2 linked regions of the Macaca mulatta genome follow. The protein of the gene in region 1 interacts with the protein of each later gene in a pairwise test. Links are inferred from orthologs where the notes say so. Each region holds a gene or a part of one and is shown on either strand. Other genes may lie near its edges. The genes, in order: GMCL2 and CHCHD3.

Region 1 (15,524 bases):
GTGGTGCATGCCTGTAATCCTAGCTACTTGAGAGGCTGAGGCGTAAGAATCACTTGAACCCAGGAGGTAGAGGTTGCCGTGAGATGATATCGTGCCACTGCACTCCATCCTGGGTGACAGAGGGAGGCTTTGTCTCAAAAAAATAAAAAGAAAGAAGAAAAAAAGTTGAAATTTATCAACTGCCTTGTTAGTAGGTATTGATAAGACTGGTTTCTTTTCTCATTTTATCTATTTATGTAATGAATTATATTAATTGAGTTTCTAATATTAAACCATCCTTGCCTTTCTGGAGTAAGTCCACGTGAATATCATTTTAAATTATATTAATGTGCTATTGGATTGTTGTTGAGATATAGGAAAAGCTAAAGTGTTTTTCCCAGTCTCTCACTCAACAGTCAACACATCCGTGACCCCAGACGTGTGTATTTTCCCTCTACACAGCAAGCAAGCAATTCTCTGTCAGACACCTGCTGCGTGTCTTCTAATTCAGTTTAACTCTGACACCATTTACCTGACGTTAGTGTCAGATCCCACACACTGAGGGCTCAGTCCCACAAGAGTGTCCCCCACTTCAGAGGTCAGTTGCAAGTCCAGACCTTTGGAACTTCTGACCAACTGGCTATACTTTGGGGTTCCCATGACCCCTCCTTAGATTTTATTAATTTGCTAGAGAAGCTCCTAGAACTCAGGGAAACACATTTACCCATTTACTCTAAAGGATATCACACAGGCCAGACAGAAGAGATGCATAGAGTGAGGTATGGAGAAAGGAGTGCACCAGGCTCCAGTAACCTCCACGTGTTCAGCCAGCTGGGAGCCCCCTGAATCCCGTTTTTTTTGTTTGTTTGTTTTAATGGAGGCATGATTGATTAAATCGCCGGCCAGTGATTTAACCTTCAGCCCCTCTCCCTTCCTGGGAGGTTGGGGGCGGGGCGGGGGGTTGGGGGGTGGGGCGTGGAGCTGAAAATCCCAGTCTTCAAAAGGTGCGTTGGTCTTTCCAGTGACCCGAAGCTACCTAGGGGTCCGCCAGCCAGCAGTCATCTCATTAGCATACAAAAGGCACTCATATGTCTCTGAAGATTCCTAGGGTTTTAAGTACAATGTGTCAGGAAGCGGAGAGGAAGACCATTTGTGGAGCTCGGGGAAAAGGCCAGATTGGAGAGAGATTTGAATCATTTGCTGGAATTTCATGCCGGGAAACTGGATGAGCTCACCTAGGGGCGGAACGTAGACAGAGAAGGCAGAAGACCCAGGACCAAGCGCTACAGTGTGTTCCAACATATTTCAAGGTTCATCCTCTGGGGGAAATGCTGGCAGCTGTGCGAACGGGAAAAGGTGCGCTCCAGGTAGGAAGCTCGTTTGCATAAAAAAAGGTTACAGTGGGGTGGACAATAAACGTCACACCTGGCCCAACCAATCTTTGGGCCTTATGTAAATCAGACACCACCTCCTCAAGCTGTCTATGAAACCCAGTGCATTTCACCACCTAACCAGAAGAGCTACTCAGGGGCCCCTGTCTCTCTGCAGGACAGAGCTATTCTCCTTTCCCTTTCTTTTGCCTATTAAACCTCCACGCTTTCTTTCTTTCTTTCTTTCTTTCCTTCTTTCCTTCTTTCTTTCTTTCTTTCTTTCTTTCTTTCTTTCTTTCTTTCTTTCTTTCTTTCTTTCTTTCTTTCTTTCTTTCTTTCTTCCTTCCTTCCTTCCTTCCTTTCTTCCTTTCTTCCTTTCTTCCTTTCCTTTCTTTCCTTTCTTTCCTTCTTTCTTTCTTTCTTTCTTTCTTTCCTTTCTTTTCTTTCTTTCCTTCTTTCTTTCTTTCTTTCTTTTCTTTTCTTTTCTTTTCTTTTCTTTTTTTTTGAGACGGAGTCTCGCTCTGTCACCCAGGCTGGAGTGCAATGGCACAATTTCAGCTCACTGCAACTTCTGCTTCCCGGGTTCAAGCAATTCTCCAGCCTCCGCCTCCCAAGCAGCTGGGATTACAGGTGCCCGCGACCACGCCCGGCTAATTTTTTGTAGTTTTAGTAGAGACAGGGTTTCACCATTTTGGTCAGGCTGGTCTCGAACTCCTGACCTCATATGATCTACCCACCTCAGTCTGTCAAAGTGCAAAGTGCTGGGGTTATAGGTGTGAGTCACTGCGCTGGCCTAGACGTCTACACTTAAACTCAAAAAAAAAAAAAAAAAAAGGTTCATCTTCTGAGGGGGAACCAGCAAAAAAAAATATGTATATAGAAAATTCCTTGGTAATGAAGAGGAAAGAGACACTAATACGTGCTGCAGTATAGCTGACCTTGAAAGCATTATGCGACGTGAAAGAAGTCAGACGTGAAAGGCCACATATTATATGATTCCATTTATGTACAATGTCTAGGCTGAGCGCAGTAGCTCATGCCTGTTATCCCAGCACTTTAGGAAGTGAAGGTGGGAGGATCACTGGAGCCCAGGAGTTCAAGACCAGCCTCAGCAACACCACCATATCTACAGGAAAAAAACCCTGCCATTCTTTACCTATGACGGTCTCAGTAAATTCCTTTACTGCCTATGACTCCAGCCACAGCCACAGCTGGCTGCACCCACAACCCCTAGGTCAGCGTAGCACTGGTCCCACTCATGAGGGGCCAGTTTTCACTTTTTTGGCAAAATGGAGAAACATTAATTGGGGCCAAGAGTGCCTGTTGGAAACCCATTTCTTGAATAGCATTCTTTTAAAAACAATTGTTTTTTAAAGACAGGGTCTCCCTCTGTCACCCAGGCTGGAATGTAGTGGTGCAATCACAGATCACTGCAGCTTCAAACTCCTGGGCTCAAGTGATTCCCCTCCAGAGTAGCCGGGACTGCAGGTATGTGCCACCATGCCCAGGTAATTTTCTAAAAAAAATTTTTTTTCATAAACCATAGTTTATACAATAGTTTAACTTACACTATTAACACTTTATTGAAAATATTCCTTTTTTTGTTTGTTTGTTTGAGACAGAGTCTCACTCTGTCACCCAGGCTGGAGTGCAGTGGCGCGATCTCGGCTCACTGCAAGCTCCGCCTCCCAGGTTCATGCCATTCTCCTGCCTCAGCCTCCCGAGTAGCCGGGACTACAGGTGCCCGCCACCACGCCTGGCTGATTTTTTGTATTTTTAGTAGAGATGGGGTTTCACTGTGTTAGCCAGGATGGTCTCAATCTCCTGATCTCATGATCCACCTGCCTTGGCCTCCCAAAGTGCTGGGATTACAGGCGTGAGCCACTGCGCCCGACCTATAGAAAATATTTCTATTGAAAAGAACATACTATGCAAACACTTAAAAGTATTTGGTAAGAAAACAAAAGCACATCTTTACGACCAATGTGAATTACGAACTGACAATGATCAACTTCTCAACTAAGAACATTAACCTACTTGTGATTGAAGAAATAATTATCCTGTCTATGGATGACATAAGCAACTTGGCCAGGACAGAAGCAGTGGATGAAACCACATAGAATTCCAATTTGGCCAGTTAACTTATATAAGTGTAATGAAACAGTTAACTTTATTCATTAATATACTCAAACACTATCACTATCTTTCCTTCCAAGATTTTCAAAAATTTAATTATCCAAATAACTGAAGTTTGGTATTTCTATATTTTTCAATACAAAAAGTGTCAGGAACCTTTTATACAGTAATGAGACGGAAAGAAAACAACAGCTTCCTGTGAAAGAGGCCTAATCTAGTCAAATATAAAAAGAAGTAATGTAACCTCTTTTTTTTTTTCTTTTTTGAGACGGAGTCTCTCTCTGTCATCCAGGGTGGAGGGCAATGGTGTGATCTCCGCTCACTGCAACCTCTGCCTCCCGGGTTCAAGTGATTCTCCTGCCTCAGCCTCCTGAGTAGCTGAGATCATAGGCATATGCCACCATGCCCAGCTTATTTTTATTTTGTATTTTTAGTAGAGACGGGGTTTCACCATGTTGGTCATAGCTGGTCTTAAACTCCTGACCTCAAATGATCCACCTGCCTCAGCCTCTCAAAGTGCTGGGCTTACATGTGTGAGCCACCATGCCCGGCTGACGCCCAGCTGAAATGTAACCTCTTGATAACAGCCAAATCACTGTATTAGAAACATTTAAATTCCAGCTTTGGGGGTCAAGGGTGAGGTATTTAAAATGTTCCTTTAAGTTAAACCAAGTGGATGAATTTTAAAAGAAAAAGCAATTTATGAACCTATGGACATATCATTAAGAAAGAAAAAAATTATTAGTAAATTCCAAAAGTTAAAAGGAGTTGGAAAAAATTCCAACTAGAAAGAAAAAAAATGTTGGTTTCAATTAAGGTTTTTTTTGGGTCCATTTTATATAAGAGCTTACTTATTCTTTTTCCAAATGTGCATTTATTATTTGCACAGATACATACAAATTATTCCCATTTTAAAAGCCACAATAAAAATATACATTAACCACAGAAGTACTTACTCTAACTGGAAAGAAAATGAACATGGCTATATTCAAAACAGCAATAAACACAAAAGGTCAACATATCTAAATCATGACAAGTATACATCTCAATTTTGACAAAAATGAGTTCCATTTTTACATTAATGCTTCATCAGCTTCTATATTAGATCCTCTGACCTTATTTATATTTACTATGAAATTTCTGTTAGCATGTGTCACTCAAAGGCACTCAACTCAGAGGGTGTAAAGTCCTGAGCTTAAGTAGGAAACAAAACTCCCAACTAAAATTTGCACACAAATAATTCCAAAGATCAGAGAGTATTAATGTTTAAAAGTATAATATCTGTTTTAAAAGTATTTAATGTTTAAAAGTATAATAATTTATTATAATATAATAAATATATAATAAATATATTTAAAAGTATAATAAATATTACATAATATTTATGTAAATAATTCAAAAACTAATAATAAAGGTGTACAGACTGTCAAAGAAAAGACCATGTAAGGCAAGAAATATCCTTGGAATCAAACTGATTTTTCACTCATTCAAGATCATTTGAAGGTGTGAAGCTAACTTTCATTGTTCTTAAAATCCTAGGAAAGCCAAATTTTAAAAAATAGCATGACAATGCTTAAGTTTAAAAAAGTTTCTCAGCTTAGTCTCCAAAACCAGGAAGAAAGCATTTAATGATTAAAAACACGTATGAACTGGAAAGATACCAGACTAAAAGGAGGAATCATAATAAGCCGGTTTAAAATATTAAAAGAAAGCTTTAAATGCACCAACTCAAAACAGCATTTCTAATTGGCCATCTAAATTATTCTTTTAGATTATTTTAGCCAAATAAAAATAAATTTACTGATGGATAACTGAGGTCCACTAACATAAGGTAGAAACAAAGTTTAAGCTAAAAATTAAATCTATATTTTGTTGCAGATAAATGTGAGATTTACCTACAGTAATTTTCTGCTGTTGCTAAATTAAAAGCATGAGTTGACATTGTACTAACAGAAATGGTTCGACAGATATTTTCTTGGCTTTAAAATGTTTTGTTCATATATGCAGAGAAATGCAATGAGGATAAGAATAATCTTCTGTATTGTCTGTACAGACATACCATCGTTAGTCACCTTAGATGTGAATATCAGTAGAGCCATTAAATTAAAGCTGGCCTAGAAAGTTTTCAAAGTGCTACTGTTTCCAACTGATGAGATCTTCAGTTTTCTGGATTTTCTGGGTGACGATTATTTTCAATTCTTTTCTCTGGCGATATATACAAGAAGTTACAGCAGATATATAAAGGGAAGGTCAGAAACCTGCTGTCCAAATTCATCACCACTTGTTCCTGATCCTTTTTAAGTATAAGTATTTGATAGCCAGTTGTTCTACTACATATTAGTTTTCCACTACTATCAAAAGAAGCCAAACGTAATCTAAATGCTATGCTCCTTTGAGGCTGTAAACTGACAGACCCGCTACATGGCTGATTCAGTGTATTGCGTTTGAAAATGATGCATCGATTGGTGTAAGTTACAAGTAGGTCAAAGCCGAAGTTAAAACCCGTCCAACACCAGCAGTATTCACCGTCTTTGGCAAGCTTTCTACCACACCTCATGCTATTTCCCTCCAGTTCTTCTTTATCGATTTCTTGAGGCCCTACCTCACTGTCTTGTTCGGCCCGCAGCATAGCAAACCACTGCTGTTTATACACAGAAGACAGCCATTCTGCAGGTACTATAGCATCTTGTTCAATAATTCTTGCAGAAGCCAGGTCACTGATAATATATTGTAACCTTAAATGTCTGAATACTGATACAAATGGTTTTCCTTGTTCAGTTTCAAGAAAGGCCATATCTTCAAAATCTTTTCTCTGTTTGGAAAACCAGACATCTGTTTCTGTCAAAAGCTGTTTTAAAGATCCATTCCAAGAAGGCACAAGTTGAAGAAACATCCACTTTTTTAGAGCGGTGTATACATCCATCTCCACTTGCATCACAAATAAGTTAGATGAACCAATGAGCTGTTTCATGACATTTATACTGAGTTCTTTAAAAAGTTTAACATTCTGGTGAGTCATCAAATTATTTAGAAGCCATTCAAGGCACTTTTTCTTTACGGAATCTAATCCATAGGTCCCTACTGATGTGTAATAGCCACATACAGTTTTCACAGTAATTGTCTCCTTCATCGTCTCACCACACTGCTGTATTAAACCATCCAACTGCAGCATACAAGCGGCTGCCAAAATGGCAACAACTCGACTGGGCTTTATCAGCACGTCATCTCGATACAGTGAACCAAACGCAACCTGCAGCGCTTCTACATCAATGTTCTGGTCAGGAATCTCCAGTTCAATAATATTCATGCTGGATTCTTTCCAAGAACCACTGAACATACTAGAAAAGTAGCCAGACTGACATAAATATATTTTGTGTAATCGCCATTCTTCTCCTAGAGCACAAATCTTAATGTCACTGTCTTCACCATTCAAAAATAATGTTTGATAAATATATTTGGATGTACTCCTTAATTTTTTCCTTGCAGGGATGTGGAGGAGAGGCTGCTGCTCGTCCCTCTCCTCCTCATCCTCGTCTCTCTCCGAGTCAGGGCGACAGTAGCGGAAGGCCCCGCTGCTCTTGTGACTGCCCGGGCAGTAACAGAAGCCGTAGCCCGCTGCAGGGTCTCCAGGGTCCGGCCTCCCGGCCAAGCCCCCCGCCCTGGCACCCTGCTCCTGCTGGGCAAGGGCTCGCCTCGGCTGGCGCAGCACCCGGCTGCTCGACGATCCCATGGGTCGCGGCTCCCGGGACTTCAGGGAGCCCGGAGGAGGGGGTGTCCCGCCACGGCCCGGCCGCCGCCGCCAGCCTTCCCCGAGCGCAGGTGCCTGCACCGCCAGCTTCTCACGCGCAGCCCAACCGTTGCAGCGGACGCTGCCGCCTCCATCCTCCGCACCCCTCCCCCACTACAGATATGTATATATTTTTGGAGACAGAGTCTCGCCCTGTCGCGCAGGGTGGAGCACGGTGGCTCGATCTCAGCTCACTGCAAGCTCCGCCTCCCGGGTTTAAGCGATTCTCCTGCCACAGCCTCCTGAGTAGCTGGATTACAGGCTCTCGCCACCACACCCGGGTAATTTTTGTAATTTTTTTTTTTTTTTTGAGACGGAGTCTCGCTCTGTCGCCCAGGCTGGAGTGCAGTGGCCGGATCTCAGCTCACTGCAAGCTCCGCCTCCCGGGTTCACGCCATTCTCCTGCCTCAGCCTCCCAAGTAGCTGGGACTACAGGCACCCGCCACCGCGCCCGGCTAGTGTTTTGTATTTTTTTTTTTAGTAGAGACGGGGTTTCACCAGGTTAGCCAGGATGGTCTCGATCTCCTGACCTTGCGATCCGCCCATCACGGCCTCCCAAAGTGCTGGGATTACAGGCTTGAGCCACCGCGCCCAGCCTTTTTTTTTTTTTTGTAGCCAGAGTCTGGCTCTGTTGCCCAGGCTGAAGTGCAATGGCGTGATCTCGGCTCACTGCAACCTCCACCTCCCGGGTTTAAGCAATTCTCCTGCCTCAGCCTCCCAAGTAGCTGGGATTACAGGCGCCTGCCACCACGACCGGCTAATATTTGTATTTTTAGTAGAGACGGGATTTCACCATGTTGGCCAGGCTGGTCTCGAACTCCTGACCTCAGGTGATCCGCCTGCCTTGGCCTCCCGAAGTGCTGGGATTACAGGCGTGAGCCACCGCCTCGGGCCTAAAAAAACTTTTTTTAGGGTGGTCTTGAACTCCTTGGACAGCATTCTTCATTGCTGGAAGCAATTCTCATCTGGCAGCCAAAACCAAGGTCCGTTTTAGAAGCACCACTTCCCCAGGAGCAAAGGTTTATTTGTGGGACCCGACAAAGGCAAATGTGTGTGCCAGGTGCTTGAGCCTAACCAGTCCAATGTAAATTTGTGACCAGGCACGAAAATAAAATAAAATAATAAAATAGGCCAGGCTCAGTGGCACACACCTATAATCCCAGCACTTTGGGAGGCTGAGATGGGTGGATCACTTGAGGTCAGGAGTTTGAGACCAACCTGACCAACATGGTGAAACCCCATCTCTACTAATAATATAAAATTTAATTGGGTGTGGTGGCGCACACCTGTAATCCCAGCTTTTCAGGAGGCTGAAATGGAGAATTGCTTGAAACCAGGAGGCAGAGGTTGCAGTGAGCCAAGAGCTCGCCATTGCACTGCAGCCTGGGTGACAAGAGCAAAACTCCGTCTCCAAAAAAATAATAAGATAAAATAAAGAGTTGAAGTCAAGCCAGGCATGGTGACTCACACCTGTAATCCCAGCACTTTAGGAGGCCGAGGTGGGTGGATCACGAGGTCAGGAGTTCGAGACCAGCCTGGCCAATATGGTGAAAATGACCATGGCTGGGTGGAGTGATGACTGCAGCTGGTCTGGGAAGGCAGAAGCAAGCAGAGGGCCAGGGCAGGATGGGCAGGGATTCTCTGCGGGGAAGATCTGTGGAGACGGGGCAGCAGGATTAGGATGTTAGAATCGAGGAGGCTTTTGTCCCTGGGGGATGGCGTGGAGAAGCGGGGCATGGGCCTGGAAATTTGGCCTGCAGCCTATCCTCACCAGGCCATCTGGAAGCTACTTGTTGGGAACCCTGTGTGTGTAAAGGGCTGACCCAGGCCCAGACCCGGGGGAGCTGGAAAAGGGCACACACGGAGACCACCTGAGAGGCGTGCTGGAACTGCTTGGCCAGTCCTGGGGGACGGGATGGCTGGGGCGTGTGGGTGTCTTCCTGCAAGAAAACAGGACTTGATGAGGAAGGTGGGAGGCTGTTTCAGGCAGATGGAGGTCTGTGCTGCTAGAGCAATGGAGGAGTCACCACCATGCGGGGCTCCACCTTTGTCGCAGTGGGGGCAGAGATTGGTGAGGGGCATCAGGGCCAGATACATAGGTGTGAGGAACCCTAGATGGACCAGTGCTGCAGGGGGAGGTGGTGCCATGCCAGGGAGGTGGATAGGATGCTGGACACAAGTGAAGAGCAACCAGCCCTGGTGGCTTCCTCAAACCTGCGTGAGTGCCTGCCCCATTCCCAGATGAAGAAAGCAGAGGTTTCAATAGGAAAAGTGACTTGTCCTAAATCCCAGAGCTGCAAAGTCAGGAAGTTCAGCCTCCTGATTCCAAAGGCAAATCTGGAGTTTCTGTTGGAGTTAAGGGGCCAGGTGAATGGTCTGTGTTAACAAAACAAACAAACAAACAAAACTCTGTAAAATATTTAAAGAAGTTTATTCTCAGCTGATGTGAGTGACCATGGCCTGGGGTACAGTCTCAAGAGGTCCTTAGAAAGTGTGCCTGAGATGGTTGGGTTACAGTTTGGCTTTATACATTTTAGGGAGACAGAGGTTACAAGCAAATACATCAATCAATACATAGAAGGTGCACATTGGTTCGGCCTCTAAGGGCAGGACAACTCCGGGGGCTTTACAGGTCATAGGTGATTCAGAGGTTTTCTGATTGGCAATTGGTTGGAAAAGTTAAGCTGTGTCTAAAGAGTTGAAGTGGCTGGGTACAATGACTCACGTCTGGAATCCCAGCACTTTGAGAGGCTGAGGAGGATGGCTTGATCCCAGGAGTTTTAGACAAGTCTGGGCACCACAGCGAGACCTGGTGTCTACAAAAAAATTTTAAAAATTACTTGGGCATGGTGATGTGTACTCGTAGTCCCAGCTACTCGGGAGGCTGAGGCGGGAGGGTTACTTCATCCTAGGAGGTCAAGCCTATGGTGAGCCATGACTGTAGCGCTGCATTCCAACTGGGGGGACAGAATGAGACCCTGTCTCAAAAATAAAATAAAATAAAATAGGCTGGGCACAGTAGCTCACACCTGTAATCCCAGCACTTTGGGAGGCCATGGTGGATGGATCACTTGATGTCAGGAGTTCGAGACCAGACTGGCCAATATGGTGAAACCCCATCTCTACTAAAAATACAAAAATTAGCCAGGCATGGTGGCAGGCATCTGTAGTCCCAGCTACTTTGGAGGCTGAGGCAGGATAATCGCCCGAACCTGTGAGGCGGAGGTTGCAATGAGCCAAGATCGCACCATTGCACTCCAGCCTGGGCGACAAGAATGAAATTCCATCTCCAAAAAAAATACTAATAATAAGATAAAATAAAATAAAGAGTTGAAGTCAAGCCAGGCATGGGGGCTCACGCCTGTAATCCCAGCAGTTTGGGAGGCCGAGGAGGGCAGATCACGAGGTTAGGAGTTTGAGACCAGCCTGGCCAATATGGTGAAACCCCATCTCTACTAAAACTACAAAAATTAACTGGGTGTGGTGGCAGGCATCTGTAGTCTCAGCTACTCTGGAGGCTGAGGCAGGAGAATCGCTTGAAACCGGGGAGGTGGAGGGTGCACTGCACTCCAGCCTGGGCAACAGAGCAAGATTCCATCTCAAAAAAAAAAAACAGAGTTGAAGTCAGTGGGAAGAAATGCTTAAGATAAGGGGGTTGTGGAAGCTGAGGTTCTTGTTACGTAGATGGCCTCCAGGTAGCAACCCTGAGAATAGATAGTGAATGTCTCTTTTCAGACCTTCAAAGGTTTCAGACTCTCATTGAATCTCTCCTAAATCTGAGAAAGTCCTGGCTGAATTAATGGAAATTCTCTACAGATGCAAATTTCCCCCACAGGAGACAGCTTTGCAGGGCCATTTCAAAATATTGTCAAATAAATATATTTTGGGGTAAAGTATTTTGATTTCCTTCAGGGTCTGCTATCTGTTATGTGATGTTGTACCAGAGTCAGGTAGAAATTTGGCATCTTATTGCTATAAAAAGCCTGTTTTGAGCCGGGCATGGTGGCTCACGCCTGTAATCTCAGAACTTTGGGAGGCTGAGGCGGGTGGATCACCTGAGGTCAAGAGGTCAAGAGTTTGAGACCAGCCTGGCCAACATAGTGAAACCCCATCTCTACTAGAAATACAAAAAATTGGCCGGGCGCGGTGGCTCAAGCCTGTAATCCCAGCACTTTGGGGGCCGAGACGGGCGGATCACGAGGTCAGGAGATCGAGACCATCCTGGCTAACACAGTGAAACCCCGTCTCTGCTAAAAAATACAAAAAACTAGCCGGGCGTGGTGGCGGGCGCCTGTAGTCCCAGCTACTTGGGAGGCTGAGGCAGGAGAATGGCGTGAACCCGGGAGGCGGAGCTTGCAGTGAGCTGAGATCTGGCCATTGCACTCCAGCCTGGGTGGCAAAGCGAGACTCCGTCTCAAAAAAAAAAAAAAAAAAATACAAAAAATTAGCTGGATGTGGTAGTGGGCGCCTGTAGTCCCAGCTATGCAGGAGGCTGAGGCAGGAGAATCACTTGAATCCGGGAGCCAGAGGTTGCAATGAGCCGAGATCATGCCATTGCACTCCAGCCTGGGCAACAAGAGTGAAACTCTGTCTTAAAAAAAAAAAAAAATCTGTTTTGTGTCTTATGATCTCTATTTTATTTATTTTAAAAATAATTTATTTTATTTTTGAGACAGAGTTTCACTCTTGTTGCCCAGACTGGAGTGCAATGACGCTATCTTGGCTCACTGTAACCTCCACATCCCAGGCTCAAGCAATTCCTGTGCTTCAGCCTCCCAAGTAGCTGAGATTACAGGCATGTGCCACTATGTCCGGGTAATTTTTTGAATTTTTTGTAGAGATGGGGTTTCATCATGTTGGCCAGGTTGGTCTCGAACTCCTGACCTCAAGTGATCCACCTGCCTTGGCCTCCCAAACTGCTGGGATTACAGGAATGAGCCACCATGCCTGGATAGAATAAATATTTTATGCTTTGGGCCAACAGGCAAAATCGAGGGTATTAAGTAGGTAAGTACGTAACAAGAAATAAAACAAAATTCCATAATTTGGGGGGATTGTTATTGACAGAACGTAAAAGTTAATTTATGGATGCTGAAAGTGGAGTTTCATACAATTTTTATGTGTTATGAAATATTATTATTTTGATTATTTATTTATTTTTGAGATAGAGTCTTGCTCTGTTGCCCAGGCTGTGATCTCAGCTCACTGCAACCTCTGCCTCCCAGGTTCAAGCGATTCTCCTGCCCCAGCCTCACAAGTAGCTGGAATTACAGGCATGTGCCACCACACTCGGCTAATTTTTTTGTATTTTTAGTAGAGATGGGGTTTCACTATGTTGACCAGGCTAGTCTTGAACTCCTGATCTCAAGTGATCTGCCTGCCTCGGCCTCCCAAAGTGCTGGGATTACAGGCATGAGCCACTGCACTCAGCCTGATTTTTTTTTCAATGATTTAAAAATGTAAAAATCATTATTTGTTCAGGGATCATATAAAATCAAGCAGTAAGCAAAATTTGGGCTATGGGCAATAGTTTGCCAACCTCTGGTCTAGATCTGCCCTGTTCATCATAGTAGCCCCTGGCTACCTGCAGCTACTGAGTACTTGAAATGTGGCCAGGGACACTCACGATGGCTCACACCTGTAATCTCAGCACTTTTGGAGGTTAACGTGGGAGGACTGCTTGAACCCAGGAGTTTCAAGTTACAGAGAACTATGATTTCAACACTGCATCCCAAACCTGGGTGACAGGGAAAGAAAGAAAAAGAGAGAGAGAGAGAGAGAGAGAGAAGGAGGAGGAAGAGGAGAAGGAGAAACAGAGAAAAGAAAAAGAGAAAGAAAGAAGAGAAAGAAAGAAGGAAAGAACATAAGAAAGAAGAAAGGAAGGAAAAAGAAAGAGAGAAAAAGAAACAAAAGAAAGGAAGAAAAAGAGAGGGAGGCAGGGAGAAAGGGGGGAAGGAAGGGAAGGGAGGAAGGAGGGAAGGGAGGGAGGAAGAGAGAAAGGAATGTGGCTGTACTGGATTAAAATATGCTTAGGTGTGGCCGGGCACGGTGGCTCACTCTTGTAATCCCAGCACTTTGGGAGGCCAAGGTGGGTGGATCACGAGGACAGGAGATGGAGACCATCCTGGCTAACAAGGTGAAACCCCGTCTCTACTAAAAATAATACAAAAAATTAGCCGGGCGTGGTGGTGGGTGCCTGTAGTCCCAGCCACTGGGGAGGCTGAGGCAGGAGAATGGTGTGAACCTGGGAGGTGGAGCTTGCAGTGAGCCAAGATTGTGCCCCTGCACCTCCAGCTTGGGCGGCAGAGCGAGACTCTGTCTCAAAAAAAAAAAAAAAAAAAAAAAAAGCTTAGGTGTAAAATACACACTAGATTTTGAAGACAGTATAAAAAACAAAATATCCCAATAACTTTTTATTATATTTTGGATATCTCAGAATAAGTAAAATATATTACTAAAATTAACTTCACCCCCCAGTTTTTTATTTTTATTTTTTATTTTACTTTTTTTTACTTTGTCTTAGTCCACTTTCTGTTGTTTGAATATCTGAGACTCGATAATTTTGAAAGAAAAGAGGTTTATTTAGCTTATGGTTCTGCAGGCTGGGAAGTTCAAGATTGGACAGCTGCATCTGGTAGCTTCTGGTGAGGGCTTTGTGCTGCATCAAAACATGGCAGAGAAATGGAAGGCGGACCAGGTGCATGGGGGAAAGGAGGAAAACATGAGACGCGACCTTGCTTGATGACAACCCAACTCTAAAGGTAACTGATCCAGACCCAAGAGAGTGAGAACTCGCTTCTGGGGGACTCTGCATGAATATCTTGTCATGAAGGCAGATCCCTCATGATCCAAACATCCCTGAAAGGTCCCCCACCTGTCAATGCCATTATATTGGCAATTACATTTCAACATGAGTTTTGGTAGGAACAAACCACATCCAAACCATAGCATCTTCCCACTGTTGAGTCACTTTTTAATGTGGCTATTAGAACAATTTAAATGATACATGTGTTTGCACTTGTGGCTTGCATCTGTATCTGGTATACAGTGCTGCTCTACTAGTGAAGCTGGAGCGCCCAGAGTGAGATGACCCCAATTTGCCTTGGGGGAAGTGGAAGGGTGTGGCCTGGTGTTCAGCAGTGGGGTGTGGGGTCACAGAGGGACAGCCGGATTTCACTAAGGTGACGTGGAGGGGCAGGGCTCCAGGAGGCACACACTGAGGGGCCTTCTGCAGCAGCGAGTTGAGGGAGCGGTGTGGGCTTTGCGGGTAGGGACTGAGCTGTTTGTGGGGTATCTGTAAGAGGCTGTGCAGCAAGCCAGGTGGCAAGAAGCAAGATGTTGGCTGGGCATGGTGGTGCATGCCTGTAATCCCAGCACTTCGGGAGGCCAAGGCAGGAGGGTTGCTTGAGGCCGGGAGTTTGAGACCAGCCTAATCAACATAGTGAGACCATGTTTCTATATAAATAAATAAATAATAAATAAATAAATAAATAAATAAAATTTTAAAAGCAAGATGTTGCCAAGCAATTGACCAGGTGGTGAGTATGAGAGAGCCCCTGCCCTGAGGGCCTTCCATCTCTCACCCACCTGGATCAGCACACAGCATGTCCTTGTCTTCCACTCCAAGCCTACATCCTGGCCCCTACTGGAGAAGGGTTCTGACCAGTTCACTGGCAGAATGTGAAAACCGTATGTTAAGACATCCATGACATGAAGCCCTAACAAGCCAAGAATCCTTTGTTTTCACAGCAGAAGGCCTCTGGCTCTTTCCCTGTGTTGACTGGAGGCTGAGTCTCTGTCCTCGACACCCCACCCGCTGCTGCCTCCTCTGCCCTGCCTGGGGAGCCCTGCCCCGTCTGGCCCTGTGCTGGGAACAGCCAGAGCTGGGGCTTCTTGCGCTTCCTGTTCACACCCACGGAACCAGCTTTGCCTTCCCCTCTGCTGTGCAGGGAGAAGGGAGGTGGGAGGTGCGGAGGGGATGGTCCTGTCTGTGGCTTCCTGCTTCTCGGCTGGCAGGAGGAAGGCAGGTTTTCTGTGTCTGTGTCTCTGTGGTCTTTCAGGCTCAGCACTTGGGTAGGAAGATGAAAACCTCGGAGTGCCCTTGTCTCTTTCCCTCGGGTCTGATCAGACCAAAGCCTTGTGTGGTGGAGGAGCTGAAAGGACGTGGCACGGGGAGGCTGGCAGCCCGGCGCTGCTCGGCTCACTTTTCCCTCTGCCAGCCTTTGTTACCAAGGGGTTTGGACTTGATCTTG
Region 2 (16,100 bases), on another chromosome or scaffold:
AAGCTTTCATCTGAAAAGTTACTATTTTCATCTGAAAAAGTGAAAATATTTATCCCGAGAGATTTTGTGGAGGGATTTTAGTCTTTTGCACCATAAACTATAATTGACTACACAAATATTTGCTACAGCTATTACCCATATAGCTCCAGCCACAGGGACTTTTTATTTCATTTTGGTTCATTCTTATCAACTAGGTCTGAGCTTGTACTGACTCCTCCTCTGTAAGGTGCATGAGGACTAGGCCTACAGCTATTGCAGGCAGCAGCTGCCTAAGTCCTGGTATGGGTGGAGAAGGTGCTCATTTTTCTCTATCTATGTTCTCTGGGTAGTGGAAGTAGAATGTCTCTTTCAACCTAATCACTAATTTCTTGTTAACTTTTTTTTCTTTTTGAGGCTTCTCTGATGTCCCAAGTTGCTACTTAATGTCAAATTCTCACATCAATTCAAAACATTTCCCAGTGAGGTGTTTGGTTATTGTTCAGTCAATTTATAAGCATGCGCCAAAGGAGTATACACTAAACCTACTGTAGGCTTCATAAACATACTGTAGGGTTGCCTTATTGAGAGTCCACCTTTCTCTTGTTCTTACAATCATTCAACAACTGTATCCTTAGGCCCTTCCAAAGCAGCACCCATGGCCATCTACAGTTGCACCTCTGCCAGCTCCAAGCACTATTACCCTATTCCCAGTCTGCTCACAGCAATGTAGTTATGAGGCAATAGTCTTGCTGTGTTATCATCTGTATTCAAAGTCAATGCTCTCTGAGCTGACCTTCCCATTGCAGTAGTAAGTTCAGACCTGCACACTCACCTCATCTCCTCTGTGAACAGGGGTACTCACTCGTGAAGCAGCTGACAAGCTTTAGAGATGCTGACCCGGGTTATACACACAATCTGTAGCTGTAGAACAACTCATCTTTGTGATGAAAAATGACCCAAAATGGGGGTTGATGGTACAACATAAGCTTCTGCAATGGCAGCCTCTGTGTAAGAAGTAACTTGCAGTTGGGTGCGGTGGCTCACGCCTGTAATCCCAGTACTTTGGGAGGCCGAGGCAGGCAGATCATGAGGTCAGGAGATCGAGGCCATCCTGGCTAACATGGTAAAACTCCGTCTCTACTAAAAATACAAAAAATTAGCCAGGCGTGGTGGCACGCGCCTGTAGTCCCAGCTACTTGGGAAGCTGAGGCAGGAAAATCCCTTGAACCCAAGAGGCGGAGGTTGCAGTGAGCCAAGATCGCACCACTGCGCTCCAGCCTGGGCAACAGAGCGAGATTCTGTCTCAAAAAAAAAAAAAAAGTATCTTCAGGAAACACATCTTTTCCTGAACAGGGCACTTGTTTTAGAAAAAGCCTTTTCCTATATAATAACCTATACCTATTATACTTGCTTTCCAGACATCTCTGGAATCTGCATCAAGGCAAATACCAAGGGCAATTTACAGAAATTATTTGTAGCAAAGAATAGTGAAATAACATAACCCCCACACACATTGACACTGGGAATTACACCCTGAGGTCCACAGACTGAGTAGTCCGTGGATCAATTACTCAACTGTATGCAAAATTGTCAGTTTATTGCATGGTTCTGGCCAGAATCCACAGCTCACAGATCCACAGTGCTCTACAAACTAAAAGAACCACCATTCTAATATAAGAGGCAACCAAGAGAAGCACATCTGCCGATATTCAGCCCACTAAACTTGACTGTCCACCCTATTCTCTACTGCTCCTAAAGACAAATTTAGGCAAACAGAGCTTGCCAAGTTTAAATTTGTAGTACTCACCACACCAACGTGCTCCACAGAGGGGGAAAGGGCAAGTGTCATCTCCTACAGTCTTCCCACTCATCTCTTCCTACCCAACTTGTTTGGTCTTATCCAAAATCCATGCCAGAAACACCACCCACCAATCCAGAAGACAGAATTTTCTCAGAAACAGGAGATTGGGTGAGATGGACAAACAGAAAGTATTTCTACTCCCAGGGAAGAGAGTAAAAAAAGAGGAACTCTCCAGTGGCCCTTCTAAGAGGTAAAGTTACGAGCCACATGAGACAAACAAATCAGCTTCCTGCCTCCAGAAGTTTCTCTTATCTTCTTCCAGATATGTCCTAGCAAATTGATTCAAGAACTCAGACCCATTTTTCTCTCTTGATCCTCCTTCCACTTAGCATAAGTCATTTTCTGTATTAGTTTGCTTTACCATTACCTTTTTAAGACATAGGCTCCAAAAACTGCTACTATTATGTGGGAGAAATTACTCCCAAATAGTTACTTAAGGGAAAGGAGGAGAGGGAACCCATACACGTTCATAGATATATATGAAATATGTAATTCTTAGCTTAGGTTTGTGTTTCTTTACATTTGTCATTAGTAGAAACCATTATCTCTACCTTTATAAAATCCTAGACAACTTAAGATGGTACTCAGCCCAAAAACTTCATAGAATCTAAAGCTGAAAGAAACGAATCATCTACTACTTAACTAAATTATTTATACAATATTCCTCAACACTCCCAATGGCTGACCCAATTTGTAGTCTCTGATAACATACTCTACAGAATCCTCAATAATACCCCATATTAAGTAATCTCTTCATTTACAGTCTCTCAACTGCCAACACTTCCCAAAGCATGAGTTATGTTCCATATTAAGTATCCATACTGCCATAACTGGCTCCTGTTAATTTCAGCTTGCAACTTTAAGGCCCAGCTGCTGACATTCGTTTATGTCTGGAAAGCATAAATATATCTTTGAAAATGATACTCACTGAAGTTGACATTTGCTCTAGAAGAGTTCACTCACAGCTTTGATGTTTCAGATAAACTTGCGAAAGATTGAGTTGTAAGCACACTTTCCAAGCAGGCACGGCAGGTGCCCACAAAAATCCTATCAACCACATGTAATACGAGTAATGAAAATGCTTCGTCTTTCCATCTCTAGGAATTTCGTTTAGCCTTGGGAAGAGGGCAAGGCAAAAGACTGACCTTTCATCCAATCCATATGAGTAGTTTCAGATTCAAAGTTGGAATCAGGCACAAAAATACAGGTTATTTTTACGGAAGAGGAAAGAAAAGCTATCAGTTGCTAAGGATAAAGGGAAAAAACAAGACCCTACAAATACCATGAAAAATAACACCTGGTAGGTGAGAAGAAACTTTAAACTTAAAATTTGAAGTAGGTCCTTTCATAGATAATTAAGGACCTCAACAATATAGAGAAACACAATCTATTAATAAATTCAGCCAGGTGTAGAGGCTCACAGCTGTAATCCCAGCACTTTGGGAGGCCAAAGTGGGCAGATCACTTGAGGTCAGGAGTTTGAGACCAGCCCGGCCAACATGGTGAAACCCCCCTCTACTAAACATACAAAAAAGTTAGCAGGGCATGGTGGCACATGCCTGTAATCCCGGCTAATCAGGAGGCTGAAGTAGGGGAATCACTTGAACCCAGGAGGCGGAGGCTGCAGTGAGCTGAGATCGTGCCACTGCCCTCCAGCCTGGGCGACAGAGCAAGACTCATCTCAAATAAATAAATATTCAGCATAGTTACCAAAAGCCTTATGTTGTTCACTAAATGTTATTCTTTATACATTAAGGTAAGTGATGACTGAGCCTGGTGGAGCGGCACATGCCTGTAGTCCCAGAGAGTGGGGCAGGAGGATAACTTGAGCCCAGGAGTTGAGACCAGCTTGGGCAACACAGGGAGACTCCAACTCAAAGAAAGCTCATAAATGCCAACATATTTATATTAAGGGAATGAACCCAAGTCATTATATGAAAAAAAAAAAAATGAAGATGAAATTATAGACGCTCCTTGGTTTACAATGGATTTTGCTGAAGGTAATGCCAGAAGCTGAGTTTACTGAACGCTTGTCACTTCCACACCACTGTCAAAAAATTCTAAGTCGAACCATCCTAATAGGAGACCATCTGTACTATCTTTAACGGTGTAACAGAACACAGAATTAGTTTTCCAGTAGTGACTGACTCTGTTGAATTAATAAGCTTGGTAAACGTTCATTTCTTACAACCAATGACATAAATGCTAGACAACTGGGCAAAGTTGGAAAGTTTTCTTCAGCCAAGTTGAACTAACCCAACTGTAGTTCAAAACTGAAGTTTGGTGCCTCATCGGCACCATGTTCTAACAAACTAAGCTAAAAACAGTGACTTATGTACATACTGAGAATGCAGTTTCTTATCCTTCCCCAAGTCTCAGAAGGAAACAATGTGACTGTTTAAAGCCAAGAAAAATATAAAGAAATAAAAACCATCTACAACAGACCTAGACAAAAAAACACCCTCAATTAGGACGTAATGCAAGACTCCCATTTCCCAGTCCATACCCTTTTAGGTACACCTGTTGGGGCACAACATGCTCTTATTTTTTTTAAAATTTGAAGTTCACATAAGTTCACGTGTCCATTCTTTTGAACAGCTCTAATAACAGCTACTACTCACAAGTGCAAACACTGTCAAAGTACTAGACACTGTGCTAGATACACATTATGTCAAATTCTCAAAGTAGGCTGCTTTATCCAGAAATACTAAATACGGAAACACGATGAAAAGTGACTTGTCCAGAGCCACAGGGCTAGTGAGAGGCAGAGACAGAATCCAACTCAGGTCTGCTTGGTTCCAAGGCACATGCTCTTTCCACTACACGGCACAGCATTTTCAAAGACTCTTATAACTTTGCGTGTGAAAGGAACCCTATCATAATAATGGCTGCCTTTTTAATGAAAACCTACAATGTGCCAGGTGCTTTACATACCTTACCTCATCTTCTTACAACCAGTCAAGGGAAGTGATGGTATTACCCTTTATGCATAAGGAAATAATTCGAGAAGAAGTCAGTTGTCAAAGGCCACAGGCTAATAAATACCTAACCTGCGATTTAAACGGATGTCTGCTTAACTCAAGCCAAGAAAAATACTAAGATCAACTGAAAACATTTACAAAAGACCAAGACAAAACCCACACAGGCAATCAAGTTAAGTAATAAATATCTAACCTGAGATTTAAACTGTCTGTTTAATTATAAGTTGACACTCTTTCTATCATGAGCTCAAAGAAATCAGAATGACCTCTGTGTACCCAATACTTCAATGGATGTCACTTCTACAGGAAACTGCAACAGGCTAAGTATGGCTACAAGAAACTTACAGTGCCACCAGACTCAGAGGATTTCAGGACTGGAAAACAACAGAGATCTGAGAGATGTACTCAGTCCCATTATTTTGCAGATGAGAAAACTGAAGCTCAGGGAGATTGCAAAACATTCATGTAAAAGGAGATCTGAAGCAATGGAGACCAGCGCAAGGGCATTCCAGGTGAAGGGTATATTCTGAAGAAAAGCACAGAGGTCAAAATGAGCATGCCTGAACTGTAGCAATACAGATAAAATGTACTATATGAGAAAGAAAAACAAATGAAGAATGCTATCAAGTTATATGACCAAAGGACATTTCTTTTTAAAAAACAAAAATCTTAAAAAGGTTTTTTAGACAATTTTCCCATTTTAATAGAATACATATCCCTGCTGTCACAGTTATTCCATCCAACCTTATCTAATGTTTGATATGAATCTCTGTGCTGTGGCCACATTCTTTCAATTTTGTTTGCTGTTAGCACTGTGTCTGTACTAAAGCATAAGAATATGGATTTATACATTTTTTTCTAACCAATGTCTTCTCACCCAAAACTTATTTTGCTTTGTCTTTGAATTATTTTTCACCCTGAGTGGCATACCGAAGGCCTAATGGCAAGTCTTAAAATCTCTGCATAGAACTTAAAAGTTTACAGTAATTTTTTACTCCAAAGAGTACTAACTGAACCACAGTAACTCAAAGAATGCAGCCCCAGATATTTTATTACAAAATGTAGTACTACCATTAATTAGTATGATATAAAGAAAGACTGGTCACAAACCAAAAACTGAGTTCAGTCTGAGTTTCTATAAAGAAAAGTTTAATAAATTATTCTCAAGGTAATAGTTTCAGAAGAAAAAGTTTGAAAACATTTTAAATATTTAAGAAGTTTTATTTCCTGGTAACAACTGTTAAAGATAATTTACAAATGTAATTTATTTACGCCGGTTGATAACAGAAAAAAATATATAAATTATTATAAAACTTTCTGAAGTCAAAATTGCTTTATTTACTAGGTGCAGGCATCATACGTCCAAAAATGTGAGGCTCCAAATTCAGGCGCAGCGGAGAGTGTGTGAATGAAGTTAGTGCTGGTATACTGACACCCTAGAGAAAAACCAGGTTTTCAGTTTATGTATCAGATGCATGCAAAGGGCATTAAAAAAAAGTACTCTGCAACGTTGGTCAGAAATGACTACATTACTTCTACTGGTCTGAAAAACTGCAAACCTATCTCAGCCCCTATCAGACTGGCAGACACTAGTCCTGAAGCAACTGGGCCTAGTCCAAAACTTCGGCGCAGCAGGTCACAGAGGAGGCGCCTGGGAAAGAGGAGATATCAGAGAAAGTGAAGCAGGGAGAAGCCAGAAGCCACCCCAGGCAGGCCAGAAAAGACTGTGGAGGTGGGAGGGAGGATTACAGGGTGTGGGGTGCGGGTGGGAGGAGGGGGTGTTATCAGACGGAGAACACTAAATGACACAAAACAAAGGCAATCCTTAAAATGCCAATTCACCCTGGGAGACAGGGTGTGAACAGTGGGAAAGCAGAGTTTGGAGAACCATTTCACAGACAGGTACACTGAGCCACTGAGTTTCAAATACGGTCCTGCAACAAGTGAGCAGTACAGTTACGAGTAGACCGTGAGCCCTTGCAGGGTATAATTCAACCTGGCATTCCCCGCCCGCCCCAGCAGTGCCTAGCACTTGGCACACAACCAGCAACTATCTCTGAATGAATGTCCCACGTCTTGAAACTCTGGGCTTCTTCCCAGACATCTGGCCTTCTGGCCGTACAACACTAGGGGCCGGGACGGGAGAAACCAGGCTGAGCAGGTCCGGGGAAGATGGGGCTTTGGGGTCCGAGTCCGAGCACTGGCCCTCCGCCCGTCCACGGGCACTCACCCGGATGCCCTTCACCACGGTGATGTTCTCATTCTCGTCCGCCTCGAAGGTGACCCGGCGGGTGCTGGTGGTCCCACCCATGGCTCCGGTTCCTGACCCAGCGGAGACCTAGCGCGGAACCACGAGCACTTCGGGGCCCCCGCGCCCACACGCGCGTGGAAGGGCCTGGACTCTTTTCCCGCACAGCTGGAGCAAGGCCACGACCCCAGAAGCAAGGAGAAGGCGCCGGTCCTGAGCTCCCGCCTCCTCCGGTCACGCGCCACAACAAAGACACCTCAGGTTGGTCGGAGATGCGAACTGCCCGCCTCTGTTCGGCGAGGGCGCCCGGATTGGTTCACCCGACCCGGATGCTATGGCAACAGGTGGTGTTTGATAAGCTTTCCCCGGAGTCCCTAGGTGTAGTGGGAACTGTGGTCCCGATCTGGCGCGATGGGTGCTGGGACATTCTCTCCCCGCGCCTGAGCGCGCTAAGGGAGCACGGCATTCTGGGAGTTGTGGTTTTGACTCCCCAGACGCCTAACTGGGCAACTTTTGGAAGACATAATTCTAGAAATTTAGGCCACTGAATTCAGAGACATAATCTGTCTTTCAAAGGGACTCACAGTTTAATGAGAAAGATGCATGATCCTAATTAAGCCATTCCTAGTGTTCTATACACAAATTCCTGGCTCAAAACTTAGCATTTCATTACAGTCATGGGGTCGCTTAATGAAGACTACTTCTGAGAAATGCCTCGTCAGGTGACTTTGTGATGTCTGTGGTTGTGCAAACATCATAGAGTGTACTTACACAAACCCAGATGGTGTAGCCTTCTACACACCTGGGCTACTTGGTGTAACCTATTGCTCCTAGGCTACAAAGATGTGCAGCATGTTACTGTAGTAAATACTGTAGTGGTATTTGTGTATCCAAATACATCTAAACATAGGAAAGGTACAGTAAAAAACAGTGTAAAAGTGCTCGCTTTGGCAACACATCTAGGACAGTTTGAACAATACAGAGATTAGCATGGCCCCAGAGCAAGGATGACACATGAATTTCTAAAGCAGTTCATTTAAAAAAAAAAAATCAAAGATAAAAAATGGTACTCTTCTATAGGGCACTTACCATGAATGGAGCTTACAGGACTGAAAGTTGCCCTGGGTGAGTCAGTGAGTGAGTGGTGAGTTGAATGTGAAGGCCTGGGACATGGCTATACAGTACTGTACCTTTTATCAACACTGTACACTTAGGCAACGCTAAATTTATTTTCAAATATTTTCATTCTTCAAGAATAACCTTAGCTTACTGGAACTTCTTAAATTTATAAACTTCTCGTTTTGGTGACTTTTTGACTCTTTAGTAACAGCTTAAAACACAAAGACACTATATAGCTGCACAAAAATATTTCTTTATATACTTATTCTATAAGCTTTTTTCTATTTTTGAAATTTTTTTTTACTTTTTAAACATTTTTGTTAAAAATTAAGACCAAAACACACGCATTAGCCGAGACCTACACAGGGTCAGGATCATCAGTATCACTGTCTTCTACCTTCACATCTTGTCCCACTGAAAGGTCTTCAGAGGCAATAACACGTATGGAGCTATCTCCTGTGATAACAGCACCTTCTGTAATACCTCCTGAAGGACCTGCCTGAGGCTGTTTTACAGTTAACTTTTTTTTAATAAGTAGAAAGAATGCACTTTAACCTAATGATAAAAAGCATAGTGTAGTAAATACTAGGCGACAGGAGTTTTCCAGCTCCGTTATAATCTTACGATTCTGCCGTCAGAAATGAGGTTTTTCTTTCACTGAAACACTGTTATGCAGTACATGAATGGTGACATTTTAGTCGTAGCCATAAAATAAAAAAAGTGAACGTATGTTTGGTCCTTGTCCCTTATCTCATGAACTATGTATCTGTATTTTTTTTCTTTTTGTAAAGTAAAATTGTAAGTGCTGTGGTTTTCAAACCAATGAGAAAATACATTTCTTCAGAGAATAAATTATTTGCACCAAATATGCAGAGGATTTACTTTCCACTTTTGTGTCTCCTATTACTAGTTCAGTTACATAAGTTAGGCCATAATAGAGTTAGGCAGAGAAAAGTAAGTGATTGACAAAGACAGCATAAATTAGTGGAGGAATTAAAACTACGTCAGAAAAGTTGAGATGATCTGTTGTGGAAAGTTTCTATTAATAGTTCAACATTTCACCTCTACAAGACCAGTACGTAGTTATTAGGTTATCCATTTACATATTTATTTTTTGCTAAACACACTGTTACATATAAGTTTAGCCATATGACCTTAGTTTTACAGAGGCAGATGATTCTCAGTAGAAATCAGGTTAATGATGGTACTGTTCTTCTATTAACCCCTCTCAACATTAAAAGCAGTGGGCCACAACACACTGTGGCATTCTCTTACGCCAAAGACATCTACAGTGGAGTCACATTTTTGAGCTTCAATTATGTGCTGATCTGTTACTGTATGAATCCAATTATGTGCTGATCTAGTACTGTATTAATCTTTTTTTTTTTTTTTTCCCTGAGATAGAGTCTCGTTCTGTCGCCAGACTGGAGTTCAGTGGCACAATCTCGGCTCACTACAACCTCCGCCTCCCAGGTTCAAGCGATTCTCCTGCCTCAACCTCCGGAGTAGCTGGGACTATAGGCGCGTGTCATCACGCCCAGCTAATTTTTTTTGTATTTTTAGTAGAGACAGGGTTTCACCATGTTGGCCAGGACAGTCTCGATCTCCTGATCTTGTGATCTGCTCACCTCAGCCTCCCAAAGTGCTGGGATTACAGGCGTGAGCTACCGCGCCCAACCTTACTGTATGAATCTTTAGAGCAGAAACTATGTCTTTTTAATCTCTATATCCCTGGTCAGTAGCAGAGTGTTGATTACATCTCATCATTATATTATTTTCAAATTTTACTATGTTACTTTGCAGTTATGAGACTACGTGCTACTTCGTACTTGTTCTCAAGTTTCTTTGTGTTTGTTTGTTTGTTTTGTTGTTGTTGTTTGGGTTTTTTTGAGAGAGGGTCTTGCTCTGTTGCCTAGGCTAGAGTGCAGTGACCCAAGCACCACTTACTGCAGCCTCAACCTCCCAGGTTCAAGCAATCCCTCCCAGTTCAGCCTCCCCAGTAGCTGTGACTACAGGTGTGTGCCATCACACTTGGCTGCAGTCTCACTATGTTGCCCAGGCTGGTCTCAAACTCCTGAACTCAAGCAACCTTCCTGCCTCAGCCTCCCAAAGTGCTGGGATTACAGGCATGTGCCACCATGCCCAGCCTAACTCTTTCTTCTACTGGGAACTAGAGCTCCCAGGAATTATGACTTTCATTTTTGGGGGACCCTCCCCTCCACAAACACACTCTCACTTATTACCCCAATATATAGGGCATATCGGAGGTTCCATATAAAATATATGCTCAACAAGCACTTGCCAAAATAACCAAGTACAAAGAAAGTGTTTCTTGGAGAGAATAGAGAGATGAAGGAACCACTAGTTGTCTTAAATATATTTATCTCCTTAGAATATTAAATAGAATTCTTTCAACCAAATATATTAAAGATGATGAATACTAAGCATGAGAAGATAGGTGAGTGCCTTCACTGTTTATGATACAAAAACATATAAGTGGTCTTATCAAACAGACAATCCAAAAATATTTTAGACATCCTAATGCATTTTAACCAACATTACAAAGATGCCTTCTGAGTTTAAAAAAAAAAAATTCAATGCAATCTTTAAAAAAAAAAAAAAAAAAAAAAAAAAAAAAAGCCTTCTCTACCAATATTGTTCTATCCATGTCAATTTCCAGGCCAGTCATGTCTATGCAATCCCTTCTTGAGCTACGCGAACCTGTGACCTCCTTTCTTTCTGGCTACAGCTTATTAATGGTCATCTAATCCAAATGCAGCATTTACTAGCCAGATACCTATGAACTAGAATGCAAAGCTTTGGCCGGGCGCGGTGTCTCATGCCTGTAATCCCTGCACTTTGGGAGGCCAAGGCAGGCGGATCACGAGATCAGGACATCGAGACCATCTCGGCTAACATGGTGAAACCTCGTCTCTACTAAAAATACAAAAAATTAGCCGGGCGTGGTGGCGGGTGCCTGTAGTCCCAGCTACTTTGGAGGCCAAGGCAGGAGAATGGCATGAACCCGGGAGGCGCAGCTTGCTATGAGCTGAGATCGCACCACTGCAATCAAGCCTGGGTGACAGAGCGAGACTCCATCTCAAAAAAAAAAAAAAAAAAAAAGAAAGAAAGAAAAGAGAAAAGAATGCAAAGCTTTGCCCTAAGAAAAATAATAGCTAACACTTGAGCTACTCAGATTCTCTGTGTCTTTCTCCCTTTTCTCTGTCTCTGTATTCACTTTCTCAAATTTAAACTAGAAAATTCAGAGTATACAAAAAGATACCAATAAGAGAAGTTATAACACTGAGTCTGTACCATGAAGAATGATGGCAAACTAAAGATAGGTGGAAGAAGAAACTGCAAGAAAAATAAAAGGCATGCAGACTGGAAAGGAAGAAGTAAAACTACCTCTATTCAAAGATGACATGATCTTACAAATAGAAAAATCTTACAGAATCCACTGCAAAACTAATTAGAAATAATAAAAAAAAAATTCAGCAAGTTTTCAGGATACAAAATCAACATACAAAAATCAATTGTAGCCGGGCACAGTGGCTCACATCTGTAATTTCAGCACTTTGGGAGGCCGAGTCGGGCAGATCACCTGAGGTCAGGAGTTCGAGACCAGCCTGGCCAAAATAGTGAAACCCCGTCTCTACTAAAAATGCAAGAATTAGCTAGGCATGGTGGTGGGCACCTGTAATCCCAGCTACTGGGAAGGCTGAGGCAGGAGAATTGCTTGAACCCGGGAGGCAGAGGTCACAGTGAGCGGAGATGGCACCACTGCACTCCAGCCCAGGTGAGACTCCATCACGAAAAAAAAAAAATTAATTGTATTTCTATACACTGGCAATTAACAAGCCAAAAATGAAACAAAGAGAGCAATTCCATTTATAATAGTATGAAAAACAACTCAAATGTCCATTAATTGATGAATGGAAAAACAAAATGTAATATATCTAGAAAATGGAATATTACTGGGTAATAAAAAGGGAGAAAGTACTGATATATACTACAGTATGGATGAACCTCTAAATCATTATGCCAAGTGAAAGAAGCCAGACACAAGAGGCCACATATTGCATAATTCCATTTAAATGAAATGTTCAAAATAGGCAAGTCTATGGAAAACAAAAGAAGATTAGGCTTAGAGAGGGTAGGAGGGGGTGAGATGTAAAGTAACTTCTAATTGATACATGGTTTCTTTTGAAGGAGTGATAAAAATGCCTAAAATTAGATTGTGATGGTTGCACAATGCTATAAGTATACTGAAATTTATTCAATTGTACACTTTAAACGGATGATCTTTATGACATGTAAATTATGTATTAATAACACTATTAAAAAGTATTAGCTAGGCATAGTGGTTTGCACATGTAGTCTTATGTATTCTGGAAGCTGACATGGGAGGATCACTTGAACCCAGGACTTGGAGGCCACCATGAGCTATAAATGCACCCCTGCTCTCCAGCCTGGGCAACAGAGCAAGACCCTGTCTCTAAATAAATAAGCAAAGCTGTTAAAGAATGTATAGTTATTAAGATAACGTATGAAAAATTTTTTTGAAAAATAATTTATAGTTATTTAAACATGATAGAAATTATTTATCATTAAAGTCCAAATTGTTTGTTTTTTTATTTTAAACGAGAAAAAAAAAAGAAGAAAACCATGAGCAGCTTTGTAATAGTGAAATACAAGCCAGTTTAAATGGGAGACTAACATAAAGCAAGCCCTTAAAAATTAGTTTAGTCTTGGTCGGGCGCGGTGGCTCATGCCTGTAATCCCAGCACTTTGGGAAGCTGAGGTGGGCAGATCACCTGAGATCAGGAGTTTGAGACCAGCCGGGAGAACATGGTGAAACCCTGTCTCTACTAAAAATACAAAAATTAGCCAGGCCTGGTGGCAGGCACCTATAATCCCAGCTACTTGGGAGGCTGAGGCAGGAGAATCGCTTGAACCTGGGAGGCGGAGATTGCAGTGAGCTGAGATTGCACTACTGCACTCTAGCCTGGGCAACAGAGTTAGACTTTGTCTCTAAAAAAAAAAAAAAATTAGTTTAGCCTCACAAATACAGAGCACTGATGTGAAGACCCAGGACTCCAGAAGCTTCTAGGGATGTCTAGAATTCAGAAAGTCCTTGCAACTGTAGTCTTTATAATGGCCGGCTCTGTCTAAGCTGCTGGGCTTCTGGAGGCCCAGCCGTACAACACTTCCTAGGTTCTGGGGCACATACAGCCTTACCAGAGGATCTTCCCATCATATGAGCCTTCCCAAATATCAACAACAATAATGCAACACATTTTCTTCCGTCTCTGCCCAGGAAACCAGCACTCTAAGTATTGAATGTCAGCAGTTTACTTTGATGCAGAGCCGAGCACTGAGCAGCAATTTGGTTTTTCACAAATCTTAGCTTGATCACTAAGCAATATTACCTGCCAACTCCTCTGTCCTTTGTGATTTTTCCCTTTCCCACCACGTCAAATCTTTGGAATGAATGCTGGAAAAAAGAGAAAGAAGGAAAAGAAGGAGAGAGGGAAGAAAGGAAAAATCCAGTCATCCCTGATGATCTCCTTCCCCTAAAAAGAAAAATATATGTATACCTAAACTTCCAAATCAGCCAGGTACAGTTGCTCACAACTGTAACACTTTGGGAGGCCGAAATGGCAGGATCACTTGAGCGCAGGAGTTCACAACCAGCCTGGGCAACTTCAAGACCAGCCTGGGCAACCTGGCAAGACCCCATCTCTACAAAAAACACAAAATTTACTTGGTGATGTGCACCTGTCATCTCACCTACTGAGGAAGCTGAAGTCCAAGGATCATCTGAAACCAGGAGGTCTACACTGCGGCGAGCCATGATCATGCCACTGCACTCCAGCCTGGGTGGCAGAGTGAGACCCTGTCTCAAAATAAATAAATACATAAAAATGAACTTTCAAATGACTCGAACAGACAAAAATTACAGAAGGTTTGCTCTATATACGCCAATTTTTCAATCCCAACTTTAAACAAAAAGTAGAAAAAGGCCTAATCCTGGTGACCTCACTTCTGCCACTCCTTCACACACTGCTTGACTGTCCCTGCTCTACTTGGTGGAAGTGTAGAAAGATATGGATGAGAAGCAAAGGTAAAAACAGAAAGAACGTGACATGGGATAATGATAATGAGGGCTAAGGAGGAGAGAGACCTGTTCTTGGTCCCCAGCTAGAAAAGCTAATCATTGTGCTGTTCATCACGGCCCCCTCCCCAGCAATTCTGAGTAGCATGCTAGCTGCACAGTAGAGCACTTGGATTCTATGACCTGTGCTGAAATAGAATATGGATCTAATGATGGTGTTTTCTGAGCCAAAAATTGAAGCAATTGCTCTATTATTTGTGAACTTAAAGAGACAATGAAATCAGTCCTTGAAATCAGGATTATCCTGCAAAATCTAGGACATATAGTTGCCATAGTTATAGCAAACCAATTAAAATCACTGAAAAGTGCTTCATGTGTAGTGCAATCAATACAGAGACATTCTGAAAATATGGACTAAGACGTATTTGACAAGCCATAATAGAACATCAGCTTTAAAACTTTTTCCACCAATTATTGTTTGTAGAATCATATAAAACAACGAAGCCCTAAAACAGCATTGTGTGTGTGTGTGTGTGTGTTTGTGTGCACACGCACATGTGGGTGTGCATGCATATGTGCTTATGTGACATATTTTAAGAATTTTGAGCAGCACGCTTGAAAAGATTAAAAACTCAAAATGGCATAAAACAAGTCATCAATAATTAGAAAGCATTTACAAGTACAGTATAACTATGCAACTTTGAAAATACCCACAGTTATGGCATGACTCACATAGTCTCCCTTTAGTAGCCATAATGATCAAGTGATTTCATGCATTGATCAAGTAGAACTGATTTACTGTACTGCCTGTGTGTCATAAAATCATGAGACAGAGATTCCCCATGTTTCAGAAACCACGCCATCTATCTTTGATTTTCAACTAACAGTTAAGGTTTGGCTGTGTCCCCATCCAAATCTCACCTCGAATTGTAATAATCCCCACGAGTCAAGGGTGGGACCAGGTGGTGATAATTGAATCACGGGGGCGGTTTCCCCCGTACTATTCTCGTGATAGTGAGTGAGTTCTCAGGAGATCTGATGGTCTTATAAGGGGCTTTTTCCCCTTCAGCTCGGCAATTCTTCTTGCTGCTGCCCTGTGAAGAAGAATGCGTTTGCTTCCCCTTCCACCGTGATCGTAAGTTTCCTGAGGCCTCCCCAGCCACGCTGAACTGTGAGTCAATAATTACCCACTCTTGAGTATGTCTTTATTAACAGTGTAAGAACAGATTAATACACTTTGCTACTAAGTCCTTGTTCATGGTAAATTGTATATGCTATGCCATGCCATGTCTTAGGATGGGCTCTGGTGACCATTCAGTTTAACAGACATCACTTAATGTTCGATAGCTAAAGTAAATCTTACACACAGGTCCTAACTTTGCAGTTCACCAGGAAGATTTTTTTGGTACCTCTGGCATAAAGTTTATTCTAGAGTAAAGCCTCACCAAATGAACAGCAGGTTTCTAAAAGGCCACTCTCTGTCCTTTCCTGGACGTTCTTCTGCTTTGCTTTTGTCATTTTTACTTTTTTTTCTCTGACACCTTATTTCTTTTCTCCTCATCTTACATTCATCAACATACAGTGGCTGAAAGACTGAGTCTAAGGGCACAGAAGGAGGGGTGGCAGTGAGTGGGGAGAAATGTGCGCGGAGTAAGAAGCAAACTCAGCCCGGCTCCTGCATCTTCTAAACTCAAGCCCTGCCAGAGTTCCAAGGTCTTTTGATTTCCTTTGTGTTGGATTTAGAGTGATCATCTCTGATGAACAGCGACCGAGCCAGAAGAGACTCATTTCTCA

Evidence for each region.
Region 2: the proteins of GMCL2 (region 1) and CHCHD3 interact in binary tests that used the Homo sapiens proteins (3 or more experiments, as listed by UniProt). The two-hybrid records come from large-scale screens. The link is inferred for Macaca mulatta from reciprocal best matches to the Homo sapiens genes GMCL2 and CHCHD3.

The regions. Positions count from the first base shown.
Region 1 is NC_133411.1:186,997,735-187,013,258, forward strand, and holds GMCL2 (germ cell-less protein-like 2), read right to left. Parts: upstream 7,378-15,524; 5' UTR 7,216-7,377; coding exon 5,644-7,215; 3' UTR 5,544-5,643; downstream 1-5,543. UniProt on the Homo sapiens protein: Possible function in spermatogenesis. Probable substrate-specific adapter of an E3 ubiquitin-protein ligase complex which mediates the ubiquitination and subsequent proteasomal degradation of target proteins.
Region 2 is NC_133408.1:172,773,957-172,790,056, forward strand, and holds the start of CHCHD3 (MICOS complex subunit MIC19), read right to left. Parts: upstream 7,216-16,100; 5' UTR 7,133-7,215; coding exon 7,052-7,132; intron 1-7,051. UniProt on the Homo sapiens protein: Component of the MICOS complex, a large protein complex of the mitochondrial inner membrane that plays crucial roles in the maintenance of crista junctions, inner membrane architecture, and formation of contact sites to the outer membrane.